3 linked regions of the Pelodiscus sinensis genome follow. The protein of the gene in region 2 interacts with the protein of the main gene of each other region in a pairwise test. Links are inferred from orthologs where the notes say so. Each region holds a gene or a part of one and is shown on either strand. Other genes may lie near its edges. The genes, in order: ARPC3, WASL and RHOJ.

Region 1 (6,949 bases), on a different chromosome or scaffold from region 2:
AGCATCCTCTTCGGACTAGAACTCTTCATGGTATGTTTTGAAGGGGCACTCTTAGATGTGATCAAAAGTGTCCTGATGTGAAGGTCACATGACTGCTCCAGAGTTATATACACCCTACACAGAATGGTAAGGATATCTAGGTGATAAAGTGCACCCTTCCCTTATCTGTACTCTGTCCACTAATCTATTTCACCAGGAACTATTTCTAGGATTCCAAAGAGCTGTCACTTCAAAATTAACAAAACAGAGTGTGAGGTTTAACTTTTCCTCCATCATTACACTGCTTTGCAAGAAGTACAACCCTTAATAGCAGAGAAGTCAGAGCTTGGAAATACTGGATTTTTAACCTATTACTGTTGGAACTAGGAAACTTTACAGTGGTAAATGTCATTTCTACCTGTGTGAGATTCATGATGAAATACTGGACCATGAAAATACAACAACATGATTTGAGGGTAATTTATTTTCCTTTTCTGTTACACACTGGACAACATGTGGCATATAAAGAATGACCAGAGATATGGTGTGGCATAAAGGTTTGACAGTTGTTTGAAATGACTTGTGAAACTGATTTGTGACTCTACAGTTTGTAAATATTGCAGCTAAACTCATGTTGATATATATTTCATGTCACTTCACTGTGTGGTTTAAATAAACATGCATTTCATCACTCAGAACAGTAGTGGTAAAATGCCTTACTCAAATATTTGACCCATTTGAATATAAATAAGGCAATAAATAAAATAAGACAAGCTAAAATACAATACAAGCTAAAATAAGACAAGCTAGTGAAAATTGACTGACATTTGTAAAAGGCATTTGATAAAGACTGAATGTAATACTAACACAGGGTGTTGCGCTATTGATAGTTTCACCCAAGGTTTTCATGTTTCCAAGAGAGCATTTTAAACACTCAGTTGAGGGAGGAAAAGTTGAATAAGTTTTGGTTTTCTTTAAAGTACATGTGCTCTCCCTCACATTTCTATATACTGACAATCAGTGACACATTACCAAAGAGCTCTCATTATATGTTGCTCCTTTTATTATTTTAATGTGCTAAGAATCAAATCAGTACTTTGAAGCAAAACTCTTGTGGACTTTGGTGGGAGTACTCATGGCATAAGAGTTGCAGGATTTCATTCAGTATAAGGATATGTGCTTTCAGGCAGCCTACTCCAGCTAAGATTCCATGAACAAGACAAAAATAAATAAAATCCTCTTGTGCTACTTGAAATAACTTTTCTGTGGATGAAAATTGTGAAACACAGTGATGCCTTCCTAAGAAAGAAAAACATTTCTGAATTAGATTAGAATTGCCAATAGTTATACAAGGTTGACTACACTATCTACTAATTTAACTAACTCCAGAGGAAATATTGTCCAAGCAAGTATTTGGCATCAAATAAGGCCACTATGTATCCTGTCTAATTTTTTTTGAGAGAGAGAATTCATATTTCATTGGTATTTGTATTAAACTTATATCATAAAAACTGTGGGTATTTTTGTATATATATAAAACCCTATATGCATCTAAAACCTTGAGTAACTTCATAAATAAGGGAGCAGTCCGTCTGATTTCTCATGAATAAAGATACGTGGTCGTATTTTTGGAGGATTTGGCCCCAAATGTCAATTACAAGTTACACATGCCAAGTCTATTTTTGGATCTAACTGATAAGCTTATGGAATATGTTAGCTTTTAATAGGAGAGTATTATTAAATTTTATTCTTTGTAGTGATGCATTTATTGACACTGTACATCATAATTATTCAAATAATGCTTAATAAATGGTCATTGGTACAGAAATAATTGTTTAATGATTTAATGTAGAATTGCATTTAGATCATGTCTTGTGACTGTCTTAATATCTACTTCTCGAGTTCTAAATGGTTCAAATTATGAGCTTTCTGTCTATTTCCTTAGGAGATAATTAGATCATCTAATTCAACATCATATTTATGTTCATAATATGGTTAAGCTTTTTCTGCTGATCACAGGTAAACACCTGACAAAGTTCTCATAAATTTTAATCTTAAAAATGATTGTTCACAGAAAACCCACAGAGACTTTTGATGAGGCATGAAGTAGATTTATTTTATTTTTTGAACAAATGCCTTACCTGTACAATGTTAAACTTGGAGCAACAAAACATTTTGGCCAAAGACTGTATTTTATATCTTTGAAAAGGCAAATTAAATTGTGTGTGTGGGGGGGGGGGGGGTCTTCTTGGAATGATAAAATAAAACAATACATTTTTCTGGTTGTTGAACTCCCCTCTGCTCTCAAGCAAGGAATCCATCTAAGTTGATATCAAATACAGGTAATGGTGGTGTGTATTTAAGGAATAAATTCTGTGTGTCTCAGGGAGAATGCATTCCTTTCAAATATTCTGAAGGGGTGATATTATTGCAGGGAGGGGGCGAAAGGCACTTGAAAGGAGGGGGGGAGGGAGATAGTAATTGGTAGCAGGATAAGAATCCCACAGAATGATCCAAATGGGAACAAATAAAGATAGGGAAACAAAAGGTTGCTAGAAAATTGAAATGTTTTCTATAAAAACTGGTCTTGAACAATACCCTGAAAATGTGCCGTTCCTGCATTGGTTTGAAGTGAGTACATCCTACAGAAAACACATTTATTCCTTTACTCAGTAAAGTAGGAAGTGCCATGGATGCATCTTTCCCCTGTAGGATTCTATTAGGAAAAAATGAAGCATTTGGGCAAGGCTATAGGCCTTGATCGAGCACTAAGATTCTCACAAGTGGGCTTTTGTGTCTGCAGTGGAGCCAGCTCTCAGGTTTTTATCATGGGTTTCATGATACTTGGTGTTTCTCTTAGAATCCCAGCTTCTGGAGTCAATTGATTATGCAAGAATCCCAACTTCCATTATTTTTAAATTTAAGTTTCTGTCCACCAGAACTGTGGAGAAAAGCTGAACCTTCTGGGCTCAAAACCCAGATTGACTAAAAAATCATGATAGTTGAAAAAAAATTTTTTTTTTGCCTATCTAATGATTTTGAGGGGAACTTCTTGTTTCTGTGTGGAGTGAATGCAGGCCTGGCGCCTACAGACCTTGCCTATACTTTGAATTCAGCAATCAGCACCCAGCAGCCAACTTAGATGCACAGTGCAAAGCACAGCGAGAGGCAGAGTGCTGTGCTTTGCACTGGTGCAGTTGCCAGCTTTGACTCTCTATGTTGTGGGCTCAGTTCATTTCCAGACTTGTAGGCCCCTGCTCTGGCAATAACAAATCCCTCTTGAGCAGCGCAAACAGAAATCAGGGATCTGCAGTAGGGTTGTAAAAGTGTAGTTGATTAACCCATTGACCTATAAGCAAAAGCTTATAGGTTAATGCTATAGACTAAACACATTCCATCCTCCTCCCTACTTGCCAGTAAGTATTTTAGCAGGCTGGTTGGCAGCCCAGCTCAGTTCTGGCTTGCACATGATCTGGGAGCTCAGACCACCCCCAGATGGGGGCTTCTGCCCACCCCATGCTACTGCCTCTTTATCAGAGGTGGCAGCGCACAGGTCAACAGCACAGGCCCTCAAGGGGAGCTGGGTTTTAAACTGGCTTCCCGCACAAACCGGCGCCCACCAGGCACCCCATGCTGCTGTGTCCGATACCCAGGCAGCATGCAGCGTGGCAGGGGCTATAGGATAGTCAAGTAACCCATAAGAATTCATGAGGTTACTGGGCTATTCAATGAACTGGTATTTAACATCCCTAATCTGCAGCCTTGTCATTTGTTACATCAGGGAGGACTTGGACCCACTGCATTTAGAAAGCAAGAACCGCGCCACATCCTCCCCCAGGAGCTGAGGCCGGGACCCTTGCGAGCGCTCTACCCGCAGAGGCTCCGCGGCCGCTGCCTTCCTAGCGCTCTGCCGCCCCCTGCTGGCCAGCTCCTGCCCTGCGCGCACAGGACTTCCTGCTTGCAGCCGCCTGGGGTGGGACAGGAAGGGCTGGCTCTCTGCAAGCTGCTGCATTGCTGACTCAGGCGGCTTCCTGCGCTCTCTGCCTCCTGGGAAACGACCGTCCCCACCGACAAAAAATGCCGGTAAGGAAAAGAGACCCTGCGGGTCTACAGGGCCCCGGCTCCTTGCGCGTGCTTGGGTTGCACCCCGCTGCCCTGCGAGCACTGTGGCTGCTGCTAGCCAGGGAAGGGCAGGAAATGCTACGGGGGATGGATGCTAGGCCCGGGGCTGAGCATTTGGGCCCCTTGGCTGCTGCTCGTTTTGCAATCCGCAGCCCATCAGGGGGGCTTCAAGGATCGGGTAGAAAACATCACAACGGCTCTGGGGTTTCTTTCTCTGTTCAGAAATAGGAAGAAGCTGAGCGAAACTAGCTGCTGCAGTGGGAAATGTCACCTCTACCAACAAAACGGGGGAACTTCCTTTTAAGGCAATAGTCAGCGCCTCTGCAAACCGCACGGCACTATTCATGATATTGTCCCCCACAAAGGATTTTGCTTCATATGCGCGGGTCGACGCGAAGTTAGCTGGTTGTTGATTTTACAATTAGACTAGATGGGCAGCTCTTTGTTGATTTAATTGGGGCTCTGGGCAGATGAAAGGGTGGGGCCTTTTCGTTGTAACTTCTCAGTTTATCTTGTGTGATTTTTTTTTTTTTTTTTTTACACAGCATTGGTAAGGTTGCAAAACACGGTTGTCCTTGCTTACTTAGCATCATAAAGAAATAGAGTGGAATTATATGATCACTGCCCCTTGCTCAAGGCCTGCTGAGCCCACCACCTAACTTAGGGAACAGCTGGGCCTTTCCAGTTTGACTAAACCCCTACAAAATTAAGAATATTCCCTTATTGGATAAACTAGGAGCATTATAGGTGAAAATTACTTTTATATGAAAATATTTAAAAAACCCAAAACAAAGAAACAGAAAAGTCCCATCAGCATTGGTGTTTTAAAGTAACTTATCTTATATTCTAAGTGCATGTATATTTTGAAATAAACCTCCTTTCTACAACATTGGCTCATATTGCAATTGTCAAGAAAAGATTTAAGCACCAAAGCAGAACGTGATTCTTAAGCTGTATCTACACTGACCTTTTTTTTTTAATTGCCATTGTTGAAGCACCGGAAAAGTAGATATGATAAAGGTTCTGAACATATTTGCCATCAAGTTATTTAGATCTGCTCTGAGTTAGACAACTGGTGATGGAAGCACACACTTCTACCTCTTCTATGTTATAGCATTCACCATTATTGCCTCCAGTTAGACTATGGCAGTTTCGTAGTAGGAGTCGTCCTCCCCCCACCTCCCCAAATGTTACTAAGGCCTAATTAGCTAGGTAAGCAAATACCACTGAACTTCCACAAGGTGTGGTTGCTGGATCATTGTTAACTGGACAAACCGTGCATCCATCATTTAGAGGGGGACATTTGTGTAATTTTATTCTTTCAAGGGAGAAAACTACTTATTTTCTTTTTATTGCTCACAGTCAGACTTCCTCTTTTGTTTATAGGCTTATCACTCCACTTTAATGGACTCCGATACCAAGTTAATTGGGAACATGGCTTTGTTACCCATTAGAAGTCAGTTCAAAGGACCAGCTCCAAGGGAAAGTAGGTTCACAACACTCTTTATAAGTACTATATCTGTATTTGCATTTATTTATTTTGCAGTCCATTTAAATCCAGTCCTAATTGCTTCTCTTTCATGAATATTTCATATCACTGATCTGGAAATGGTTATAGGACACTTTATATAAACTGTATCTACTTGAGGCTTTTGATTTTGTGTGTGTGTGTATGGTTTTCAAACTGAGGAGAAAAGGGACAGATTAGAAATGGGTACTTCCTGGTAATAGAGGAAGTTGACTTTCAGATGGCTATTAATGCTGTTGGATTGGGGGTTTCTTTTGCCTTCTGCTGTGCCATCTATCCGGAACATTTACCCTTCCCAATACAAGCCTCTGAATGCTTTTTCCTGAAGAAGAATCCTCTGATCTAATTTGTATAATGTGTCCTTCTCAACTGCTGTTTAAAATTTATGCCAGTGCCTTGAACCAACAGCTGACTCCAAACTCTACTCAGTCCTGTCTTGTGATAGTCACCCCCTTTCTATAGCTCTTGTACAAAATTATCTGTAGTGTTGTTGCTTCTGAATTGTTTTGTTTCTTTTCACTCTATCTTGGTTTCTCCTCCTTCTCCCTTTGGGAGTTGTTCTATCCACCTTAGAATAATAATCTGTATGTAACCCTTGCTTTTGTTAGTCATTTTATCATCTTGAGTCTTCGTATGTCACTTTTAATCCAAGACACTAGTCTTGTAATTGAATCCACATGGTTTCACATGGAGCCCCATTGATTTTAATTGGCTTTCCATGAAGTGCAAAGGTCTCCTTGTGCAGACCCAATGGTGGGATTGCAGCCTTAGCATGTAAACTCTGAATCATGTCTTGTTGGACACCATGGATCTAGTGGAATGGAGCCATTATTATTAATCCATGTTTATTACAGTAGTGACTAGGGACCAGTCAAAATTAGGGCTCCATAGTGCTAGACACAAATCCCAAATTCAGTCCCGAAGAGCTGGCAGTCTAAACAGACAGGACAGATGAAGGACAGTGGGAAGGGCTATAACATGCAAGCAGAATGAACAATGTGTGATCAGTCATTTGTCCTGATCTTGACTGGGGCTTCCGAGTGCTACCACAATAAATAATGTGCTATTTTTCCAGTGTGTCTTCAGTGATGAACACATTTGGTTTGTTTTCTCTTTGATGCCTCCAGAAGACCTTGTTCTAGTTTAAATTCCGTAATCTTTTGATTTGTGTGTGTGTGTGTTTTTTGTTTTTAATTCAGCCTAAATTCACTATTGTCAGGTTCAAAAGGGTAACTGTGATAAATCTGTATCTGCAAAAACAACGAGAATTCCTGTGACATGTTAAAGACTAACTGTTTTATTTGGGCATTAAGCTTTCAT
Region 2 (8,047 bases):
TGAATTCCTAAAATCTTCAAACAAATTGAAAAAAACCCCCAAGATTCAGAATAGGCCACAAATATGCATAGAATCTAAGACAGTGGTGTCCAACCAGTTCTGAAGCAGTAGCCACTATTTTGGTTATTGCTATAGTGAAATAGCCACACTCAACCAGCCAAATAGCCACATGTGGCTACTGGCTAGTGTGTTGAACACCACATGTCTAAGAAAAGATAGGATAAATCCATTGTTTGGCCACCATGGTTTACAAGGGCAACCCAGAAGACCAGCCATCTGTAATGACATCCTGAGACAACCAAATAACTATGTGTTTGTTTCCTTGTCTATAAAATGCGAATAGTAGCATTTATCACTGGGGTTGGCTTAATTCATCAGTGTTTATAATGAATTCTGAGCGCCTCAGAGAAAGCATTATAGGAGAGCAAAATATTAATGATTACATTACCAAATCCTGTAACAATTGTTAGTTGGGCAGTAGAATGGCTTGCAAACCAAAAATTCTCCCAAGAAGTATCTGATTTATTGTGTTTTTAAAGAGCAATTCATATTTTAAGATAAGCACTTAAGTTTTCTTCTGTAATCGAATTAATCATATATGAATTCACTAGCATTATCATATCTTATTTCTAGACCTCTGAAACATGCATAGGCATAATTTACTATAGCGCGAGTCAATCAGTAGCTCAAGTAGTTGAGTGAAGCTGGCTCTAAATTTACCGTAAAAATGTTGTCTTTTCTCTACCAGTTCAGGCTTTATGACTATAGATTAGTTTGAGCCCCCTAACACCCAGAATGAGGTGATAAAATTATCTTAAAGTAACCAAATCACAGTAAGATAATTATATGTGGTCGGAGTTCATGAAAATATTGCATACTGTACTTCCTGTTCAATCTAAGAATTTCCCATACTTCTATTACAATTTAGAAATTATTCAGTTTGATCAAACCTCATTTAAAATGTGTGACCATTGTGACTTCTGCTGAAACTTGTAATTCAACACTTACTTTTAAACAGGATATCTTGCAAACAGGATATCTTGCACAATACAAACATATATACAATAAAATTATTATGTACCTATTACTGATGTTGTAGGCACATGACATACAAAGAATAGCATCTAGTCAATGTACCGATATTGTATCCTAGACACAATGTAGTTTATATCATATTAACATGGGCTGATTCTTTAAAAAAAGAACTTCAGAAATTATGGGGAGTATTCCATAACCCTGATTACGCTTTGGCAAACATATGAATTTCTTTCCATTTTTGCTGTCCCAAAGCAACTTACCCTTTACCTTTAAAATACAAGAGGTCATTTAGGAATCCTAAAACTAAGGTACTAGGACCAGGTCTATGAAAGCCTTTTAAAATCATTGCATTATATTTGTTTTCCTGCAAGGATGAATGCAGCAAGGGAATCAGTACATCTGCAAGTTTCAATCCACTGTTAAGGATAACAAACTCACATGGCTATAACAACCTAAAAACAAGTCAGACCCAGCTCTCCTAACCGTTTTCCTGCAGCTTTGTGAATTCTACTGATTTACTGCAGGTGCAATCTGCCCAGATTTGTTCAACCTTGTGAACGGATTAAACTTTTCTACCGGATGCTGCAATCGCGCTATAGTTGACTACTTCCCATAGTAAGTCATAGTTTACCTGCACTGCATACTGGACAAGCCCTGGTCACACATACCTACAGAAGTGCTCAGCAGCAGGTACAGGGAGAAGGGAGGAGGAACAGAGATAACAACAGCATTCCGAGATCAGCCAGGGGCTAGCTGACAGAGCAGGTCTGGGCCGACTTGCCCCATCCAGGCCAATAGAGAGCAGTGTAATTAGTACCCCTGCCCTCTAACAACATTCCCAGTTCCTCCGCAGCTGAAGTCCTTCAATCAGGCCCAACTCCCGAGCCCTCCAGAACCAGCAGGCGTAGACACTGGCTCCATTGCGCATGGCAGCATCCCAGGAGCCAACGGGGGGGAGAGGGCGAGGCCTAGCGGAGAATTTCGGGGGAAGCGAGCCCACCGTGCTGCGCTCGGGGAAGCAGCAGCGGCATTTCCTGCTTCAGGAGCCCCGGGCGAGGCAAGGGGCCCCCAGTCACCTGCGCTCAGCACCTCCGCAGCGCAAGAGCGCTAGGACGGAGGCGGGGAGCGCAGGGGCGGCGGCTGCCCTCTCCCGAGCTTCATTCATTGCTCACGCCCCTTCCCCCTGCGAAACTCCCAGCCGCCCAGGGAGCGAGCTGTCCCGGCGCCCCCGCGGGGCAGCTCCCTGGGCCACGGGGGGCACCGCAGCTGCCAGCGCCCCCAGGGAAAGACCTGAGAAGGGAACTGCCCCCCGCCCAGCACAGGGAACCCACCGGAGCGGGCCTCCCCAGCCCTAGGCCCCCCGCGCTGCGCCGGGCTCCTCCCCGGGGCCGCGGCCGCTGCCCGGGCCGCTCCCGCCGCGCTCCGCCCGGGGCTCACCACGCATTTCTTGCCCAGGAAGCCGAAGAGGCTCTCGTTCTCCTGCGGCGTGAGGAGCAGCGAGCCCACGTTGCTGACCCTCCGCGGGGGCGGCTGCTGGTTGCTGCTCATGGCCGGGGCCGGCTCCCGGGGCGCCCTCGCCTCCCGCAACTCGCCGTCCGCCTCCCCTGGCCCAGCGGCCTCACAGCGGCTGCATAGCGGGGCCTCCTCCTCTCGTCTGGGGGCAGCTGGCGGCGCCCGGCAGCCCAGGGACTGGGCGAGGTGGCACCGGCTCCCGCTGCCCGCCGGCCGATCGCCCCCACCCCTCGGACCAGCACTAAACTTCCAACTTCTCCCCGGCTCCCACGGCCGCACAATCCAACATGGCAGCGGGGGCGGGCGAGACCACACGGCACCGGAGCCAGAGGGGAGGCCGGGACTTGCGCCGCCGCTGCTGCCGCCACACGCTGAGGGGACCCTCCCCGCGCTCCGGAGCAGGGCCCCGCCTGCTGCCCCTGTGCTGGGCCGCGCTTGGCTGACTGGGAGCTGGTGCCGCTAGTGAGCAGCGTCGCCCTCGCCTTTCCCTTAAATACCTGCCCCGCTTGGTCCGACCTGTTCTCCCAGTTCGCCGGGCGGGAGCGCCCGGGTGCTGCTGGGCTCCTGCCGCGGGGGGCAAGGAGCTTGCAGGGCTGCAAATGTGCCCCGCTGGGGAAAGGGGAGCCCTGGGGTCTGCTAATGCCTGGGTGCGGGCACAGATGTCGGCTGGGAGGGGGAGCCCTGAGTTGTGAGTGGCTTGGGGAGTAGAGGCAGCAGGGGTTGGGGGAAGAGCCTGCGTAGGGGACTTGCCTTGTGTGAGGATGTGGAGCCTAGGTTGCAAATGGCTTAGGGCCTGAGCTGCTAATGGAGCTCTGTACGAGCTCTCAGCGATTGACGAGCATTAATCAGCAATGTGACTGTCACAAGCGACATTCACACACAGGTTAGGGACCTGATTTAGCAGCTCCCTCTCAAATCAGCGAGCGTTGGGGATGTGCAGCATCCCCGTGTCTGATCCTGTTCCCAGTGATGTGAATGGCACACAAAACAACAAAACCCAACTTACAAGATCAAGGGGGAAAAATTGATCTGTAAGACCCATTCAAATTAACTGGAACATGATTGGGTCAAGAGCTATCCACTAAAAAAAAAAATCATTGATACATTTTCTTAGTTATAGCCAATTTTCACTGTAATTGATGTACGACTTTTCAATGAGTTTTTATTTTATGGAGTATTTGAAGGGGTATTGGTTTTCTCTGAAAGGGAGAAAAGGAACAATTAGAAGTAAAACTGAATTCAGGGTAATTTTGTAATTAACTTAAAAATCCTATTTTTTTCATTGTAGGAAAAAAATCTCTTTTGGAGTATATCTGGGCTGGCAAAATTTCCAGCTAATTTAATTTTCCAAACCAAAGTTGCAGTGTGGGTAAAACGGCTTTTTCATGGGGAATGTATACAACCCTAATGGGGGGAACTGCAGTGTTACACAAATTGTGTATTTTATTTCAATCTAATTTCTAAGTAAAGCACTGTTCCGCAACATGCCTTAGCTCTCATGGAACGAGGGTTACAGGGATGCCAGAATAGCTCACCTGTTATTTCAAAATTTATTTAGAAATAACAGGTGTGTTTAAATACATGGAATAGCTATTTGGAGATACTTCCGGTATCCTGAAATAATGCCACTGTCTAGATGTAGCCTTAGTGCGCTGAGGCTATTACAACTTCATAATAAATCACATGCCTCTGGAGAGCAGGAACAGATACACAAAATCTAATTTTATAAGTTGGACTTTGGTCATCTCTCCCTGTAGCAGCGGTGGTAAAATGTAGGCATTAGACAGCAATAGTGCTTCTTCAGAGCAATTCTTAGAGCCCGTGACTGCAAAAGGGAAACAGTGAAGCCTCCGTCAGGGTTGAGGTGAAAACAGGTGTCAGTGAGAGCCCTTGGCTAGAATTCTTTCAGCATTTTAAAGGGAATATTGACCTAGGCCTTGATTGTGAGAGAGCAATTTATTTAAAGAAGGGAAAACAACTTAGGTTCTGATCCTTCAAAGACTAACTAGCATCTGAAAGCCTATGGTTTCTCTATGGATGTGGCATTTAGGCCAAGTACTCCACCCTTTGTGCAGCCTTCTGGATTAGTCTTCTAAGAAGCATCCACATCATTGGAGGTTTTTGAGAAAAAACTGGACAAACACCTTTCAGGGATGATCTAGGTTTACTTGGGCCTTGTAGGGAATAATTCTGGACAACTCTGCATGCAGGTAAAAACAAGTAGAGGATTTATTACACATAGTTGGTGGAGTGTCCCTCAGCTTTTAGGCTGGTGAACACTGGTTAAACAAAACATTACAATAGATTATATAGGCGGCAGATGGACGGAGGAGAAGCAATTTGATAGGGTCTGGGAGCAAGACGGAATGAGCACGTAAGCCAATCAACTACAAAGATTACACAGCAGGCTCCACCCATCGCCAATTAAACATCTTATCAATAATGCAAGTAGTTATTCCTAACAAGCTAAAGAAGCCAACATAAACAAAACAGACGTTATTGGTAATTTTGTCTGCTGAAATGATGATGTGTCTACTGCGGGGTGATACTGCCTTGCATTGGCGTAGTCCTTGGGTTTCAGGCTTATTATCTAGGGTTAAAGGAAGACAGTGAGAACAGTTTCCACAAAAGTTGTTTTGGTACCAGCCAGCCTCTAATCTGAGTGAGGCCCTCTTGGAATGTGGTTGCCAGGGCGACCAAGGTTATGTTAACTGCTTGTGCTGTGTGTTCCCAGTCTTGTCTCAAATTTGGGATTGGATAGGGGTTCTTAGCAAAATACCATGGACTGCCTCAGTTTACGCCTACAGCCCTGTCTTAATGAAGGGAACTGCACTCGATGACTTCTCACAATCTGTTCCAGCCTTACATTTCAATGATTCTATGAATCTGATTATTAATCCCCACAAAATCTTTGATGACTTGTAATTGGTTGTGCATTAAAGGTGTATTTTACTTGAAATAATAAATAAAATTAAAGAAAACATACATAGAGAATAGAGATGGAAAAGCCTGTTTAATATTAGTCCACTGCAATGCATTGTCTCATAGATGGAGCCCTACCAAATGTACACAATGAAAAATACATCATGGACCATGAAAACTGGTTTTCTCTGTGAAATCTGGTATTGTATGTACTTTTCCCATATATGGCTACGTCTACATTGGCCCCTTTTCCGGAAGGGGCATGGTAATTTTTGAAATCGCAATAGGGAAATGCGCAGGGGATTTAAATATCCCCCGCGGCATTTAAATAAAAATGTCCGCCTCTTTTTTCCGGCTTTTAGAAAAGCCGGAAAAGAGCGTCTACACTGGCCCCGATCCTCCGGAAAAAGCGCCCTTTTCCGGAGGATCTTATTCCTACTTTGAAGTACTTTGAAGTAGGAATAAGATCCTCCGGAAAAGGGCGCTTTTTCCGGAGGATCGGGGCCAGTGTAGACGCTCTTTTCCGGCTTTTCTAAAAGCCGGAAAAAAGAGGCGGACATTTTTATTTAAATGCCGCGGGGGATATTTAAATCCCCCGCGCATTTCCCTATTGCGATTTCAAAAATTACCATGCCCCTTCCGGAAAAGGGGCCAATGTAGACGAGCCCATATAGTATGGGGTAAAAGTATATAAAAATGCCCAGCTGTTCTCAAAACTGGGGGTCCTGATCCAAAAGGGGGTTGAAAGGCTATTTCTAGGAGGGCACACAATTGCCCCCCTTCTGTGTTGATGGAAGCACTACTTTCAGAGCTGGGACACTGCTCTCTGGTCAACCAGCTCTGAAGGTGGCGCAGAACTAAGGGCGGCTATACAATGACCTGCCTACAATAGCTTTGCAGTACCCTTTTGGAAATGGACCTCCAATATGAGAAACGCCGAGTCTTAAGGACTTTACATGTTATATTTTGCCATTTTAAAGATATACATGTTTCTTACAGCAATTTAAGATTTAAATATCTGAAATTGTGAAATTAAAAGATTTTTAAAATGTTAAATCCATGACATTTATTAAAATAGACCAGGAATTTGACAGGGCTCTTCTTATAAAATATTTAAAATGCTTTGTCAAGTCTGTCTTTAATGGCCAAGTGACTTCCATTACCTTGCTTTGGAAACTCATTTAGGATTTTTTTTTTATTCAACCAAATTTCCCTTCACTTAATGTTTTCACTTTAATGATAAAACAACAAGGAGTCCTGTAGCACCTTATAGACTAACAGATGTATTGGAGCATAAACATCCATGGGCAAAGACCCACTTCATCAGATGAATGTCACATGCATCTGACAAAGTGGGTCTTTGCCCATGAAAGCTTATGCTCCAATACATCTGTTAGTCTATAAGGTGTGCTACAGGACTCCTTGTCGCTTTTGCAGATCCAGACTAACACGGCTACCCCTCTGATATCTAATGATAAAGTGTATGTTATCAAAGTGTGTGAAAGTCCTAAAGAACAGTGCCATTTTTTTAAAGAAAGAATGCAAGGTGATTGCTGCATGTGGCAGAGTAACGTTCTATTTTTTCCATCAGGCCAAGAGAAAAATCATTTGGCCACAAGTACAAATGAAACCAAAGTCCAATGCAGATCTTAATATAAAAGTATTGTGGTTCAGATCTCACATTTTCAGATCTCAGAAAAGATAAAGTCTTAAGGTGCATCTACACAGCACCCTAATCTCGAAGTAAGATACTCAATTTGCGCTACGCAAATTGCATATCTTATTTCAATTCTATTTTGAAATGGCTTATTTTGAAATTTGGTGTGTCTACAGAGTGCCAAATTTCTAAATAACATGCTATTTTCAGCTATTCCACATCCCTCGTGCAACAAGAGTTACCAGGATGGTGAAATAGTATGTCTGTTATTTAGAAAAATATTTTGAAATAATGGGAGGCTTGTGTAGATGTGGGGTAGCTATTTCAGAATACCTCAAGTATCCCAAAATAGCTGTGCAGTGTAGATGTAGTCTAAGTGACACAGCATATCAAGAGAAAGAACATCACAGTTGCTACCATATAAATAAGATTGGGTGAGACTAGAAGTGAAAGTGTATGATGATTGTAGCCAGATCAAAAAAGAGAACATCAACAAGATAATAAGAAAATGGGAGTGTGTAAAGGATACCATCTTTCCCTCATTGTCCTTGTGGAGTGTGTTACTCCATTTCCACAATAACCAATTGTGGTAACCAAGAAAAAACTCCAGTTGTGGTTGACGGTAGGGTTTGAGCTGTGACAACAAGCACTTCTCTTTTTAAGAAAACAGTATCCTTTTTCCCCCAAGAAAGAATTTGTCTGACAGAAATAGTTGTTTAAATTTCTATTGAATCAATAAGGAATAGATGTGTATATAGTTAGTTTACTGTAAGGAGATTGACTCATTTACTCTCTGGATACTGAAGAAATGCCAGTTTGTTGCAGTAGCAACTCTGAAGCATCTACAATGTTATTATTCCATTCAGATATAATCACTTTATTCTTTATCCTACAGACTCTTTCTTTCTTTTTCTTTCA
Region 3 (7,245 bases), on a different chromosome or scaffold from region 2:
GTTGGAAGAACTTAGTAGCTCAGAGGATTAGGCCTACTGCTTGTAGCCCCTCTGTTCCTCAGTGAGCCAATGCAGGTGCGCCACCAGGAACACAGCTACTTTGACTATAAACTGCTGGCTAGCTGCCTCAGGTGACAGCTTCCCTCCACCCCCACTAACTGCCTCCATTGGCTTGGCTCAGCTTCCCCACTTGAGGCTGTGGCCCTTTGCTAGCCCCTTGGAAAACCCAGTGATGGGCAAACTGGTGGATGAGGAGACTGCAGTCTCCACCCAAAATGCTCACCAAGCCTTTCTGGAGGTTCAGAGGAAGTGGGTTAACTTTTTCTTTAGGTCTTTTGAATTTTCACACTCTGCATCTCTTTAAGACTTTGGCTGGAAGTGGAGGTACAGCAATATTGAGGGAACTAAGCTGTCCTTCCAGTATTAGTGAATTACTGGCAAATTAGGAAGCACCTGGAATTTCATAGAAAAGAACTTGAAAAATTCAAACCTGATATCCAGATTAGAGAAGGTTAAGGTGTGTCTAGACTACAGGGTTTTTTTAAAAAAAAAAGTGGCCTTTTTTTTTTTTTTAAAAAAAACTTCACCTGAATCTAGACTGCTGCCACATTTTTTTTGAAATTAAATTGAAAGAAGAGTCAGTTTTTTCAACTGCAGAAAACCTCATTTTACGAGGAATAACGCCTTTTTTCAAAAGTGCTCTTTCAAAAAAAGGCATTATTGAACACAAACTGTGCTTTTTCAAAAGAGAGCATCCAGACTGCCTTGGTGCTGTCTTTCGAAAAAGCGGCTCTCTTTTGTGAAAGTACTGGTTGCTGTCTAGATGCTCTCTTTCGAAAGAGGCTTGTAATCTAGATGTACCCTTAGAGAATTGCAGGAAACCTATGGATTCAAACTTAAACTTCTCGCTCTTTCAAGCCATGCCCATCACTAACACCATCATATTTTCCAAACCAGAATGCTCACACAGCTCTGCTGTGCAGAGGTAGCCTCGGGAGCTTTCAAAGGCAGCAGAAGGCTTCAGTGTACCTACACCACTGACAATTCCAATCTGCCGATTAATAAATCGAAAGTTCTGAAGAAACACCCATTACCCAGCACTGAAGGCAAGAAAGACATTCAGCAACATGTGAGAGCAACCGCTCAACTGCTCACCCTCCCCTGCAGCAGAATTCTAAGAGACTCGTCAGAGGGGCAGCAACCTGTTATAGAAAACAACTCGTACGGCCACAAACTTTGCTCAAGTTGAGCAGTACCGGGCTATTAATCCATACTGCAAAGTAAGCGCCATCCCCACAGATGTAAAAGATTCATCCGCAGAGCAGTACAAGGGTTAATTATGGCTCTAGCTATGCAGCCAAAAGAAACGTACAATAACTGTTATTAAACTTGGTTGCAACTAAACCACATTTTCATCTGGCCTTTGTGAATGGGGGCCAACCCACGTTAAAGAAAACATATGCTTTTAGTCCAGGTACAGACCTTTATAGGGGTTTTTTGTGGGGCAAATCTGCTAAGCTAGTCTATTCACATTGTTTATGTTTGTAAAGAAAAATTACAGTGCTGAATTAAAGAGATTTATGGGCAAGATGTCAGCCTTGCTCACTTTAAAGCTAATCTCATAAATCATCGTGTTGGCCTCTTCAAGGAGAGTCATTAGCTGGTCTTTAAGATCATGGCCAAAAGTGAGTACTGCACTTTAATAGCTGCCGCCAAGGCAAAAGAGAGAGGGGTTTAGCTCCTTTTATTGGCAGGTCTAAATTAAAACAGATTCCTCCCAAATGTTTCCCAAACCACCAACAAAAGGCCAATTTTGAGGGTCCCTTTAAAGCAGGGCTACTCAACTTTGGAAGCCCCAGGGGCCACAATGATACTCACAGCACATGCCCAAGTCTGCAACTTAAGTGCGGTTGCATATATATGCAACTATATATGCAAATAGCTTATTTCACATCAATGGGCATGTATCAAAGATTAAGGCAAGACTGTACGACACGCAGGCCCCATTTAAGTCAGTTCTGCTGATATTCATAAAATGCAATATTTACCCGATGTCAGCACTTTTAATGAGCAATGACAGTCCAGGAATTTAACTACTAAAACACATATCAACAGAAGACCATTATATTGACTACTTTTTTGTTTTCGCTTCCACCCGCAGGCACATGTTGAGCTCCGTGTAAACCCAAATGGCACCATGGGCCACAAACAAGCGGGCCGCATGTTGATTAGCTCTGCTTTAAAGGAAGGAAAGAGGCAGCAGCAGGGGATGGGAATAGAGCTGCTTAAACCTTTCACTGAAATCACTAGGAAACTGGATAACTTTGCCCATGTAAAACGAGGAATCAGATACTGTGGGTCTTGTCCTGCCCATTCCCCACTCTCACAATTGCCAGGACACTGGGCAAGGAGAGGCAGGCTCAGGAGCCTCTCCAGAATCCCTGTTATTATGAGCACAGCTCGGTGGCAGATGGCCCAATGCTTTGTATTTAGTTCAGCCTCCCTACGAGGGAGCGAAAGGAGGAGCAGGGGTCACCATGGATCAAATGTTCTTCATAAGCAAAACCCAGAGGAGGGTTTAAAGGCAAACGGTGGAGACCCACTTGGCGCGCTGGCTAGCACAGATGGCAGGATCCGTGGGAATGAAGCGAGGGCTTGCTTCAGGGAAGACTCCCATTGACTTTTAGAGGCTTTGGATTGGGCCTTTAAGGAGTGGTGTCTCTGGGGGTCTCTGCTACACCTGCTTCATTACATCAGTGCGGTGTGACTTACAGTTATGTGGCCAAGATGACCCTGTTGATCTTTACTGCTTGGGGAGGGAAGGGTCTCTCTCTCTCTCTCTGAGCCCAACCCATCCAACACTATGGGACTGCAGACTGTTGTTTCTGGGCAGCTGGGAGCTAAGCAGTGCATCCGTCGCACCTTGCCATTTCTTATCTCATGGTAGATTTCTCTGTTTCCCCACTTGGAGGCTTTAGAATCTGAGTAAGGCAAAGGACGCAGCATGCACTGGAATGCCCAGGGAAGAGAACGGCTGATATGAGCAAGGGGCTGTTCGGGTGACTCTGCTGGAGATTGCAGGAATAAAGAGTAAGGTTCGACCCTAAGGGTGTGTCTAGACTACAGGGTTTTGTCGACAAAACTAAACCTGCATCTACACTACCACTGAGTTCTGTCGACATAACATTGACAGAACTCAGCAGTTTTGTCGACACTGGTAAATCTCATTTTACGAGGAATAACGCCTTTTGTCAACAGAGTTCTGTTGACAGAAGGCATTATTGCATCTAAACTGTCCTTTGCGTCTACACTGCCATGTCGACAAAGCAGCTTGCTTTGTCTACAGAACTGGATGTAGTCTAGACTCTTTGTCGACAGAAGCTTTGTTGACAGTATCTGTTGACAAAAGTTCTGTCAACAAAAGCCTGTAGTCTAGACGTACCCCAAGTGTGTACCCACGGTGAGATCTTTGGTACAGATTTACAGTAAAACTAAAAAGGAGGCTCAGAACTATATGAAATACTACAGCAGAACTGTGTGTCTCACAGGAACACAGATGGCTCGGGCTTTAGGGAATAAAAGCAATGCCTTTTAACTGGTTTTACACAGACTGTTCTGTAGCTTTGCCCTGTAGCCTTCACCTTTTAACAGCTGTCGTTCTGAATTCTCCATCGGCTCTCTTCTCTGCCGTGCTCACACATCTATACCTGAAAAAGTCTCATTTGTTTGTTGGGCAGGGGACAGGGAGGAGAATGTCTTCGTTCCTGGCTTGATAAGCCTGATTTATTACTGTACCCAAATTGTTAAAGAGGTACTTACAAAGGAGAGCATTTGGGTTCCATTCTACTCCCATCTACCAACACCCTCAAAAGAAAAAGCACATCCCAGGGTGCTACAGCAATGTGTGGCAGCCAAAACCCCTAAGATGGACAGTACTGCACATTTTACAGGCCGGTTCCCTTACAGAACGAACCCCTGACATTCCCTGCTTATTCATTTAAACCTGAATCCCTATTTTTCACAATGTTCCCCATTCAAATCCTCTACGTATCTATGAGCTAACACCAGCCTCATCTCAGCCAGCCCAGAGAACAGTGCTTTAGATGAAACAGGAAGCCTAACAACTTTAGCCTGCAGTGAGACCTCTAGTGTTTTTCTTACTCTATGTCCTGGCATAGTTCCTCTAAAGTACAAACGCACACAGAGCTCCTATTGTTTGCAGCCCTTCACAAGCCCACTGATCCTAATATGGAATTCAGCAGGAAACCCATGATTTCCTGACACACAGCAAGCTGAGGAAAGAAAGGAAAAACTCCATTAAAAACCTCCAGCTTTCCTCCATGTTAGAAATGAAATGGAAAATGGAGTGGATTTAGCAGGAATACCGGAATCCTCTGGCCAAACTGGAGAAGGGGAGAAGAGAATCAACGCCTCTGACTGCTGATATTTTTAAAGTTGCAATAAACAGAGGTCTCTCTGTCAGGATGAGTATTTCCTGACTCCAGCTCACAAGAAAGGACAATCCTTTTCTTGAATTTTTAATAGATGTATCATTTATTTACCTCAATGCTTCTCTTTACTGATACGGTAATTGTTAGAGGCAGCTGGAACAGCCTGGAGACAGTATGATTTCCTGAGGTGGAGAGCCTCCGAAACTCAGGAAGAGTGAATACAATTGCACTTCATTTTTCCTTCATGTGCACTTGGAAGTCCTGGGACCAGCAGCAGTGCCGCAAGAATGAACTGTAAGGAGGAAGATGACACCAGCACCGAATGCAGCAGCAATAACGTGAAGAAGATGTTAAAGTGCGTGGTGGTTGGGGATGGTGCAGTGGGGAAAACCTGTTTGCTGATGAGTTATGCTAATGATGCCTTCCCAGAGGAGTATGTGCCTACCGTATTTGACCATTATGCAGGTAAGGAAGTGGTTTTTACAAAGAAAACTTCAGAGGGAAAGGGAAGGGAGACGGAGGGCAAAGGAGATGTCAAGGGACTACTAGCCCGAGAACATGAGTCAGGTTTGGAAGGCAGCCAGGCAGAGTAGAGGGCAGCACATTCAAGGAGGGCACTGAAGGATTTGTTATTTGTTTCCCATTTTATTTTTTTGGCAAATATGCAGAATTAGAAACACAACTTTAAGTAACCTCCCCTGGCTTTAAAGGCAGTGGCTATAATTCAGTGTTTCTATAGTTATTTGCCAGGCTTGTTTTGAAGTTACGAGCTGAACTCTGCCCACTTCAGTCTGTCTGACTCTAACGTGCATTTTGTCAGTCATCTTTTTCCTTGTGTGGCAAGTGATTCAGAAGTTGCAATACTGAGATCCTCTCTATGAACTAATCTTTGAGAAAAGCAGTGACACCTCACCTAGTGCTGCCGGAATGAAGGTCACTTTGTTGTATTGGCATTTATGATTAATAGTAGTTAATATCAGAGTATTAGAGTAGTTAATAGTAGAGCAAAGCAGCACTGGTTTTAATGCTTAATGATGAATGCACTTGTCTTAATGAAAAAAAAAAAGAACAATCATTCACAGAACATAGCAAAGATCATAACTGATCTTGATTGTATCACAGGGCAAAATGAAAAACATATCTTAAGAAGATCACGGTTTAGGTACAGTATTCACAGGCCACTTCTGCTGTAGCAACTCCTTGCAACTTTTTTAGGTGCTTCAGAATTTACCATGTGTACTGTGCAACAGGCTGAAAACAGTCTTTAATGTTGCTTTAGTTTTCCTAATGCAAGAAATTGGTTGTCTTCATCATGTTACGCTACTGATCCTATTTTTTTATTTATAAGATCCCTAAAAAAACAGATTTTGTAAGTTATACAAAACTTATCACTGATCTTGCAGCAATTTTGTTTGCTTTTTGTTTTCTGTTTCTCCTAAACTGGATTTTCATGGCATGGCTTATCATAGATTTGGTATTCTGTAATGGGAAAATCTCAGCTTTCACCTTGGCTTCATGTCAGGTTTAGCAGAGAGACATGGCCAAAAAAGAAAACTGTAAATGCTGAGTTTGATATGAGGTAATGTGAAACCCTTATTTCTCCATAAATGTGTGTAGCTTTGTCTCTAGATGTTAACAACAATGTCTTTTCTCTACCATCTCACCCATTTGTTTTAAATTCCCATTTTAAAAAAACCTGTTTACACAAAACAGAAATAGGAGTAAAAATTTAATAAAGATAATGTGTGAAACAATATATATATTCCCATTTAAATGACAATTTTACAAATGTATTTGCAGGGACTGAAGACTTAGGTTTCTGAGATTGTCTCCAATTATTTTATTGAAATTTTGAAACGTTAAAAGCAAGTAGTATAAGGAAGAATGATTTTTAGGAGAAAGCCCAGAAAGCTAAAAAGATTGTTTTGAGTCTTTGGATATTATTGTACTATTGTGGGACAAACTCTGCCTGATTGGTGTGATTAAAAACTAGAGGTAGTCAGAAAACAAAATTTCTATTCCAGGGGAAATTCCAGCATTTTGAAATCTGTCTTTGTTCCAAATCAGCATGAAAAGCAAAATGTTGAAATGTTCCATGCAACAGTATTAAAAAAGGGGGGATGGAGGTTGATAGTTCAGCAGTTTGACACTATCAAAGAATTAAATATAATACAATACATTTGATACAATTTAACATTAAAATTCTAATATAACCTATACTTCAAAACAGAATCAAAACAATAATGTTTGAACAAAACATTTTGACATTATCCAACCACGAATGTTGAAATGATTCATTTAGACTTCCTGTCAAAAATGTCATCAAATTCAACACGTTCTCCCAAAATGTTTTGACCAGCTTTATTAATACCAGTGTTGTGTTAGCAGTGTTCCTCCCGTCTCACCGGGTCAGTGTCACAGCCTGACTGGGAACGTCAGATTATTTACTGATTTCCTTCTTTCTCTTGGAGTAAAAGAGCAGGAGAGTCAGGGGAACCTATTCTGATCTAAGAATCACTTTTGCACTGGGATCACTGTTATCTTCCAGGATACTGTTCTGCCTAGCTCAGAACTGGGAATTGCTTAATAACACAGTTGTCACTGAGCAAATGCTGTTAACCATCAAAAGCATCTGATCACAATTATGCTAACTTGCCCTATCTACTTTCTAGCCTTTGTTCATGTGGGCTGCAGATGTGGGAAAGGTATTCATATTATTGATGCAAATAGAGGCAGGCAACGTGTGTGTAGGAAAGGAATTCTGTCAAATTTCAAGGGGCTAAGTGCCAATTAG

What was found.
Region 1: the proteins of WASL (region 2) and ARPC3 interact in binary tests that used the Homo sapiens proteins (3 or more experiments, as listed by UniProt). The two-hybrid records come from large-scale screens. The link is inferred for Pelodiscus sinensis from reciprocal best matches to the Homo sapiens genes WASL and ARPC3.
Region 3: the proteins of WASL (region 2) and RHOJ interact in binary tests that used the Homo sapiens proteins (3 or more experiments, as listed by UniProt). The two-hybrid records come from large-scale screens. The link is inferred for Pelodiscus sinensis from reciprocal best matches to the Homo sapiens genes WASL and RHOJ.

What each region holds. Positions count from the first base shown.
Region 1 is NC_134725.1:32,222,066-32,229,014, forward strand, and holds the start of ARPC3 (actin-related protein 2/3 complex subunit 3), read left to right. Parts: upstream 1-3,926; 5' UTR 3,927-4,056; coding exon 4,057-4,062; intron 4,063-5,487; coding exon 5,488-5,587; intron 5,588-6,949. UniProt on the Homo sapiens protein: Component of the Arp2/3 complex, a multiprotein complex that mediates actin polymerization upon stimulation by nucleation-promoting factor (NPF).
Region 2 is NC_134711.1:40,543,229-40,551,275, reverse strand, and holds the start of WASL (actin nucleation-promoting factor WASL), read right to left. Parts: upstream 3,059-8,047; 5' UTR 2,587-3,058; coding exon 2,476-2,586; intron 1,963-2,475; exon of another isoform or gene 1,707-1,962; intron 1-1,706. UniProt on the Homo sapiens protein: Regulates actin polymerization by stimulating the actin-nucleating activity of the Arp2/3 complex. Involved in various processes, such as mitosis and cytokinesis, via its role in the regulation of actin polymerization.
Region 3 is NC_134714.1:14,816,759-14,824,003, forward strand, and holds the start of RHOJ (rho-related GTP-binding protein RhoJ), read left to right. Parts: upstream 1-4,185; 5' UTR 4,186-4,738; coding exon 4,739-4,916; intron 4,917-7,245.